2 linked regions of the Oryctolagus cuniculus genome follow. The protein of the gene in region 1 purifies or fractionates together with the protein of each later gene. This does not show direct contact. Links are inferred from orthologs where the notes say so. Each region holds a gene or a part of one and is shown on either strand. Other genes may lie near its edges. The genes, in order: CASP8 and NOL3.

Region 1 (3,805 bases):
GAAGACCTTTCTCTCTGTCTCTCTCTCTCACTGTCCACTCTGCCTGTCAAAAAAAAAAAAAAAAAAGCTATATATACTCACAGAAGATGATTCTAGACTCAGAAAAAATTGAAAAACCCAGTAAAACTACCACCCCATAGACATTAATATTAATATTTTTGTTGTCTTGTTGTGCTGGCTTTTTAAAAAAATTTACTTGAAAGGCAGAATTACAGAAAGAGGAGAATGAGAGAGAGAGAGAGAGAGAGAGAGATCTTCCATCTGCTGGTTCACTCCCCAAATGCCAGCAACAGCCAGGGCTGGGTCAGGCTGCAGCCAGGGGCCAGAAGCCAGAAGCTGCTTCTAGGTTTCCTATGTAGGTGCAGGAACCCAAGCACTTGGCATCTTGTGCTGTTTTCTTGGGCACATTGGCAGGGAGCTGGATCAGAAGTGGTGTAGCCGGGACTTGAACTGGAGCCCATAGGGGATGCTGGCGTCACATGCAGAGGCTTAACCTACTACGCCACAATGCTGCCTCCCTTCCCCGCCTTTTTTTTTTTTTTTAAAGACATCCTGGCTTCTTGTGGTGTGTGCATGGTGTGTGTGTGTGCATGTGTGTGTGTGTGCATGTGTGTGTCTGTGTGTACAATCCATGCTTTTGGGTCACTCTCCAAGATTAAGCCTGCACAATGTCCACATGGCCAGTCCTTCCTCTCTCCGCTGTGTGCTTGAGTCTGAGACTTTCAGAGTACTTTGAGGAGCGAAATGCTTTTGAATCAGTCATTCCTGCTGAGCTAATGGTTCTGTTCATAAATATCTCACGAATGCACAGCATTCAAGCTGCCCACATGGAGGAGTACAGAGGTACGGCGCTGCTTGCCTGGTCACAGTTTTCCCTCTGGTGATGATGGTTGAAGCCTGTGTTTCGGAAGCCGGAGCTTCTGTTCAGGCAGTCTGTGAGTTCTCATTGGAGAAAGTACCTCGGGGCTGGAAGTGGCTCTCTGGGTTAAACCACTCCCTGCAGTCAGGCATCCCACGTGGGCACCGATTCCTGCCCTGGCTGCTCCACTTCCAATCCAACTCCCTGCTAATGGCCTGAGAAAGCAGTGGGGGATGGCCCAGGTGCTGGGGCCCCTGCACCCACATGAGAGACCTGGAGGAAGCTCCTGGCTCCTGGCTTCGACCTGGCCTAACCCTGGCCGATAGGGCCATTTGAAGAGTGAACTAGTACATGAAAGATCTTTCTCTCCCTCCCTCTCTCTCTTCCTCTAACTCTGCCTTTCAAAAAAAAAAAAAAAAAAAAAAAGTACCTCAGTTGTTCTAGGAGGTTCTGTAGGCTTCTTTACCCAAGTGCTTTTCCTGCCATGTCTCATTGTAGGTGTCTCTGCTTGCTTGTAGGGGAGGAGCCATATGGAGTGCTGGCACTGTCAGACTGTCCAGGGGAGCCAGTGAGCAAGGCACAGGTGCGTGGAAACCTCTGAACCTTTCTCCCTCTGCACAGCAGATTGGGTTATTTGACTGGTTGGTCGATTTTTCTTTCAACTGCCAGATAAACCAGTAAAGGGCAGACACTGACAATTTTGAGAATGGTTAAAAAAAAATCCACAGGAGAAATTAAAAATGTGCCATGATTTTTTTTGAGTGCAACCTCTTCAGTTTTCAATGCATTCATTTTTTATGTTAAAGCGAAGGACAAAGGAATTGGGGATGGCTGGAGGGTGGGGGGGTGGAGGCCCCACACCTCACGGGGCAGCAAGGTCAGGACTTGGGAGGAGCATCCAGCCCCACTGGAACGAGCAGACCTTTGCTTCCTGCTTGACCTGCCAGAGGTGTTCCTCTGGGTGGTTAGGAACAAGCAGCCCATAGGGCATCCAGCCGTCTCTGTCGTCTCAAGGAGCCAGTGGAGAACTTTGTTTTCTCGACACAGTAGCGCAATACTTGCTGTGTGTGTAACCTTCCGCAGCTCACGGAGTACCTTCCCACTCACTGACCGGGTCTCTCCTCCGGGTGGCGGGAGGCTGAGGCACACGGCTGCCAGGGTCAAGCTTGACAGGGGTCTTTACCAGTGTGCGTGTCTGAGAAGATTACCACAGCGTCCTCTCAGTCTGGACCACGAAGGAGTCCCTGAAGTACCGGGTACTCTGTGAGTGGTCTCAGGTTCCACCAGCGTACTCCCTCGGAACAGCTAACCATGCTCAAATTTAATGTCTTAGAAAATCTATGTACTGTGCAGAGTAAATAATGAGCACCTGGAATAGTAAATTATAAATGACGATCTTAGCAGGTGCTTCATAAAGCGTGTACGGTCTTAGCAAACTAAGATACTAAGAAATCAGATAACTTTAGCCCAAAGTGTTACATTTAGGAAAGGCAACAACCAGGAATTTGATTCCTAGCCTGGAGTCCTTTACCTGCCTTAAGGGGCTGTGTAGATTTCCAACTAAGTTCTGAGATTCTTAGCGCTGAACCAGCCCTAGGAAGATGAGCACGACCCAGGGCCAGCTCTGCCTGTACTGTCAGGCACTGCGGTCGTGGTACCCTCCCCTGATGCTGCCGTCCCAAGAGAAGGGTTAAGCCAATAGCTTTCAAATCCCTGGGGTCACATTGAGTCTTGTGTGAGGGTCAGGCTCTCAGGGGTTAGCCAAGAAGCCCAGCCCAGATAATCACAAGGTCATGGCAGGGCAGCCCAGAGACATTCATTCATTCATTCATTCACTCTTGATGGAGTTCTAAATGAATAAATGCTGGCTTCTGGCACAGATGTTACCTGTCTGAGGACATTTCTGTTCAGTGAAGGAAGCAGATAGAATAACTGATGATCCTACGACATGGTGACAGCAATGTTAGTGTGAGAGTACTTCAGCAAGTATATGGAAGATGGAATTAAAAACTAAATTTGTTTTGGTGCCAATATTTCTGAAACTCGTGTGTGTGAAAGATCTTCTTAAAGCTCAGAGGAAATGTGTTTTATGAAAAGACTATGCATGGGTTCCAAAAATTTTGGGCACCAAGACAAACTTCTCTTTTAATTCTATTATTCCACAACCTTTTTGATGTGCAAAGAGCTGACCGGGCCCAGGACAGGACTAGTGGCTTTAGAACTGTGGGAAGGGTTCTGGATGGGAACTGGGTCTGCAGGGAGATGAGCCCCAGCTGGCAGAGGGCAGGGGAGACCACACTCGCTTCCCAGGGCAACTCTTCCCAGGGCATTGTCTCTTTAGATGGTTGTGTTTGACCCGCAGTCAGCCCCTGGGTTGGGTTTTTGTTTTCCAGACATCAGAAGAAGTTTACCAAATGAAAAGCAAACCTCGGGGATACTGTTTGATCGTCAACAACTACGATTTTAGCATAGCACGGAGAGAAATGCCCAGACACCGCAACATGAAAGACAGGAAAGGAACAGAAGTTGATGCAGGTACAGAACCCGAAAGACAGAGGTGAAGTATCCTCGTACCCAGAGGTGGGGTTGCAGAGAGAGGGAGAGGTCTCTGTCCGCTGGTTCACTCCCCAGATGGCTGCAACGGCTGGAGCTGTGCCGATCCAAAGCCAGGAGCCAGGAGCTTTGTCTGGGTCTCCCATGGGGGTGCAGGTGCCCGAGCACTTGGGCCATCTTGCACTGCTTTCCCAGGCCACAGCAGAGAGCTGGATGAGAAATGGAGCAGCTGGGACTTGAACTGGCACCCATATGGGATGCTGGTGCCGCAGGCAGAGGCTTAGCCTGCTACACCACAGTGCCAGCCCCTATACCCATCTTTTAAAAATTAAAACGGAGACAATGAAAACTGTACCAAGAGATCATCCTGTTTTAAGAAAATGCATTTGAACA
Region 2 (3,905 bases), on another chromosome or scaffold:
CCCAGAGCCCCGCTAGGTACCCGTGGCTGTGACGGCTGCACCACGCAGGACCTGCACGACCCCGCCCGAACCTGTCCTCCTGCGTCTCCGACCGCGGCTGTCCAGTCTCCTTCCCAGGCTCCTCCTTCCCCTCACGTCAGCTCTGGGCCCTCCCCGCCTGAGCCCCGGGCTTGCAGGTGCCGTCACAGCTTATCCGCTTGAGCCTTTTTCTTTCCCAAAGCTGCTCCCGCCTCAACGGGAAGATAAACCGGATGCCCCACAGCCGAACCACACTCAGGGCCCCTCCCATCCGTCTCCTGAGTGGTTCTCTCACCGTGGCGCCCCTTAGTCCTACCGGGACCCTGCAGAACCCTGGACGGGGCTCCCTGCCTCCGTACTACCTGCTCGGGTTCCCTGGGCATCCACAGAACAAGGAGCTGAGGGCCCTGCCTGCTGCTGTCACCTTGCCCTGACCCTGAGGTCCAACTTCCCAGGACAGTCCCTGCCCCTGTCCCCTCACCGCCACCCCCACCTTGTTGCAATCCCTGCTTGGTTGCATGGCCCTTCCTGGCTCCCTGGCACCTGGGCAGAGCTACCTGAATCTTCTCCACCAGTATCTGACTTCATCTGAGACCCGGCAGTCTCCCTTCGGGCCTGGGCAGGACTCACAGCCATCTCTTCTTGCTTGATACTAAGTTCCTAAGGCCCAGCCCAGGAAAGCTACCCGTGACTTCTTGCCAGACCATCATTTTTTTTTTTTTTTTCTCCAAGGGAACTCCTCATTGTGACAGTGTCTCTACGAAACAGTAGGTATTCAGTGGAAATTAATGCATGGATGCTTCGTGCATTTATTGCCAAATCCCCTCAGGTGGCTGGGCTCAGCTAGCAAGGCCCTGGGCACTTAAGAGGCCAAGAGGTCAGCCTCGGCCGGCTCCCTGCCTCAGCCCATCCCTCTGCCTTGGCTCTGCTCATGCAGCAACGCCCCTGGTATCATGTCTTCCCTTGGTGACCCTCATCTGCTGCGGGCTCCATGAGGCTGGGCATCCTCTGGGAGAGGGGATTTAGTCCTCGCCCTCGTCCTGCCTCTCCTGGTGTGCGCTCACACTCTCCCGGCCTCCTGCCCCCACTCCCACGTGTGAGGGTCAGCTCTTGCCACCAAGTGAGCAGGCACCAGAACTACCCCCTGCCTCTCCCTGCCTGCCACATCTGTGACAGATTCTGCCCCGTGTCTCAGCCTCCCTCAGCTCCTGCCAGTGGAGCTCATCTGTAATGCCCCGCCCCCTCCATCCCACCACCCACACAACACAGTGACTGACAACCCTCTGGGGGAGGGCTTATTGTCCCAGCTTAGAGAGAGACTGTGTGGAGGACTAGAATGTATCGCTTCAGCCTGCACAATAGTGAGATCGCTTGGTGCCAGCTGCCCACCACAGAGAACCCAGGCTACCTGCTCTGGCTACTGTAGCCACCTCCCTCAGCCCTGACGGCCAGGTCCTTCCTCATTTCCCTTCACCATTCGGCCAGGCAGAGTGGTGTCACTATGTCCCGGGCACCTCTGAGCCTTTGCTGATGCTGTTCCCCAAGCCTGGCGTGCCCTTCCCCTCCCTCCACTTCTCCCAAGACTCAAATATTCCCTTGTCCACTCCAATGCCAGAGTGTCCCAAGGTAGTTCCTTCTTCCGGGTATCCCAGTGAGCAAGGCATACCCGCACTCCTGACCTTAACTAACATCCCTGCGCTGCGAAAACGCGGCTTTCGGACGGTCGGCCAACGGCGGGCACCGGGAGGGAGAGCGGAGCGGCACTTATTCTGGGTAACACGGAGGGGTGCGCAGATTGCGTCGCCCAGTCCTCCTGTCTCCCTCCTCTCTAACTTGCTTCATGTTAACCTCATTTCCCCGAGACCAGCCCTGTGCGTGCAAGGCGTGCGGAGCGGAGAGCCAGCAGCGCTCACAGCTCTAAGGTGAACCCCGAAGTTAAGGCAGGGGTCAGAGGCCAGATGCTTCCCAAGGCACCAGGCGGCGAGACGTGAAGCTGGCTCCCGCCCTCCCCCCACTCCCCATCCCCACCTGCTGCACCCTCCGGCTCTTCTGCTAGGCAGCCGGAGGTCGTGGGAAACAGCGGGCGCCTTTGCGCATGTGCGACCGCCCAGCTGCCCTTACCTCCCCAGCGCCCAGCGCCCAGCGCCGGAGCCGCCGAGTCCTGCGGCGGGGCGGGGCGGGGCTCACAGACCACCTTCGTGGCGGCTGCGGGTGGTGAGGCTGGTTCCGCCCAATCTGTTTCCCTTCCCGCCCCCAGCCGGGAGGAGCGGGGCTCCGAGTCGGGTCCGCTACGGGCGGCCCCGCTCACGGGTCGGGCCTCGGCGGGGCGGGAGATGACGGTGCAGAAAGGGCCGGGCGGGGTGGGGGTGGGAGCAACAGCTGCGACGGGGGCGGGACGGCCGGGGCTGCCGGGAATGGCGGGGGGCGGGGGCGTCCTTGCCCAGCACCTGGAGCCGGGCTCCGCTTGCCCGCGGGGCTCCCCGGGAGATGAGCTGGGGAGGAGGCAGTTGGGCCCGCACCCCACGTAGCCAGCGCCCACGCTGGGCCTGCCAGTTGTCAGTGCGCTTCACAGCTCTCCTCTCATCGACCTCCCTCCTCTCTGCTTGTCCCAGACGAGGCTCAGAGAAGGGGACCGACCGACTCGTGGTCACAGAGCGCTGCATCGCTGGGCAGGGTGCGTCCCAGAGGTTGCAGGGGCCACGCGTGAGCCCTGGATCCCGGCCTAAGTAAGAGGGTTGGCCCCCTCCCCGCTTCCCAAGTACCATGACTCTCTGGAGATTCTTCCATTAAAGCCCTAGCACCTGGACGCTTTTACGAATGCAAAGTTCCCCTTCCATCACCAGGACACCTGTGCTCCCTCCCTGGTCGACGGAGAAAAGAGAGCAGAAACACAGAAAAAAATGCAATTTATGTGCAGGGCTCATCAGGGTGCTGGAGAGAGGCCGCGGAGTCAAGGAGAGGGGGTTCACTCACCCCCCGCCAGGGGGCGCCAGGAAGCCGAGAGGGGGTGTGCCGCTGTGGACTGGTCCCTCAGCCAGCCCGGCTTCATTTGCTTGCAGGTTTCAAGGGGAAGGACTGGCCCCGGGGCCCAGGTAGGAGGCCCTGCTCTCAGGGGTGCTGTAAATGGTTAAAGCCCCAGGCAAGCCGAGAGCTGGGCCTCCCAAGGCCGCCTGGACATCCAGCAGGAGCGGGGCCCCCAGCGTAGGGTCCTTCCCTAGGAAGAGTGGGTTTGTGCTCAGCAGCCAGGAAAGGTTGCCCTTCCCACCACTCAGTGAGGATGAAACATTCCTAACCTCCTCCTCTCCTGCCATGGTGAGGGGGTGGCTGGACCAAGCCGGGGGGCTTCCCTGCAGAACACCCCCCCCCCCCCATCATGGTAACTTGCTCAGTCATGGCCTCCCTCAGGTCCTGAGTCACCACATTACCTGGGCCTGGAGAACTTAATCCCTTTACTGCCAGCTCACTCTCACCCCTCTCTGGAACCAACGGCTGCATCTGCAAGAGAGAACCCCAGGAAGTAGCTGGGCAGGGAGCCAGTGGCTGAGGGGGAGAGCTGGGGACCCCCAGCCCCGGGCAGGCCTCTGCCAATATGGCTTTGGCCCACAAAAAAGCACGGACCAAAGGGTGAGAGTCCACAACCCCAGACCCCTACCATCCCCTCCCTCATCTTACCAGGGACAGCTCCATGTCTAAGTCCATCAAGGTCCATTCTCTGCCTTGGAGGCTGGGGCCCAGCACCTGGGGAGCACGCCAGGTTAGTGGTGCCCTCCCCGTACTGCCCAGACAGCTGGGCCCTGGGGGTTCTCCTGCCCGTGCCCCAGCCAAAGGGGTACTCACATCCAGGGGTCCTGCAGGCTCCACACCTTCAGGAGGGGCCCTGAGCAGCA

Evidence for each region.
Region 2: the proteins of CASP8 (region 1) and NOL3 purify together in Homo sapiens (affinity purification with western blotting; 3 studies listed by BioGRID and IntAct, with this or other methods). This does not show direct contact. The link is inferred for Oryctolagus cuniculus from reciprocal best matches to the Homo sapiens genes CASP8 and NOL3.

Annotation. Positions count from the first base shown.
Region 1 is NC_091434.1:38,679,936-38,683,740, reverse strand, and holds part of CASP8 (caspase-8), read left to right. Parts: intron 1-1,377; coding exon 1,378-1,442; intron 1,443-3,252; coding exon 3,253-3,394; intron 3,395-3,805. UniProt on the Homo sapiens protein: Thiol protease that plays a key role in programmed cell death by acting as a molecular switch for apoptosis, necroptosis and pyroptosis, and is required to prevent tissue damage during embryonic development and adulthood.
Region 2 is NC_091449.1:50,464,839-50,468,743, reverse strand, and holds the start of NOL3 (nucleolar protein 3), read right to left. Parts: upstream 2,424-3,905; 5' UTR 2,140-2,423; exon of another isoform or gene 2,047-2,139; intron 192-2,046; exon of another isoform or gene 72-191; intron 1-71. Other genes in the region: HSF4 (heat shock factor protein 4), read right to left, coding at 3,081-3,232, 3,444-3,513, 3,691-3,756, 3,856-3,905.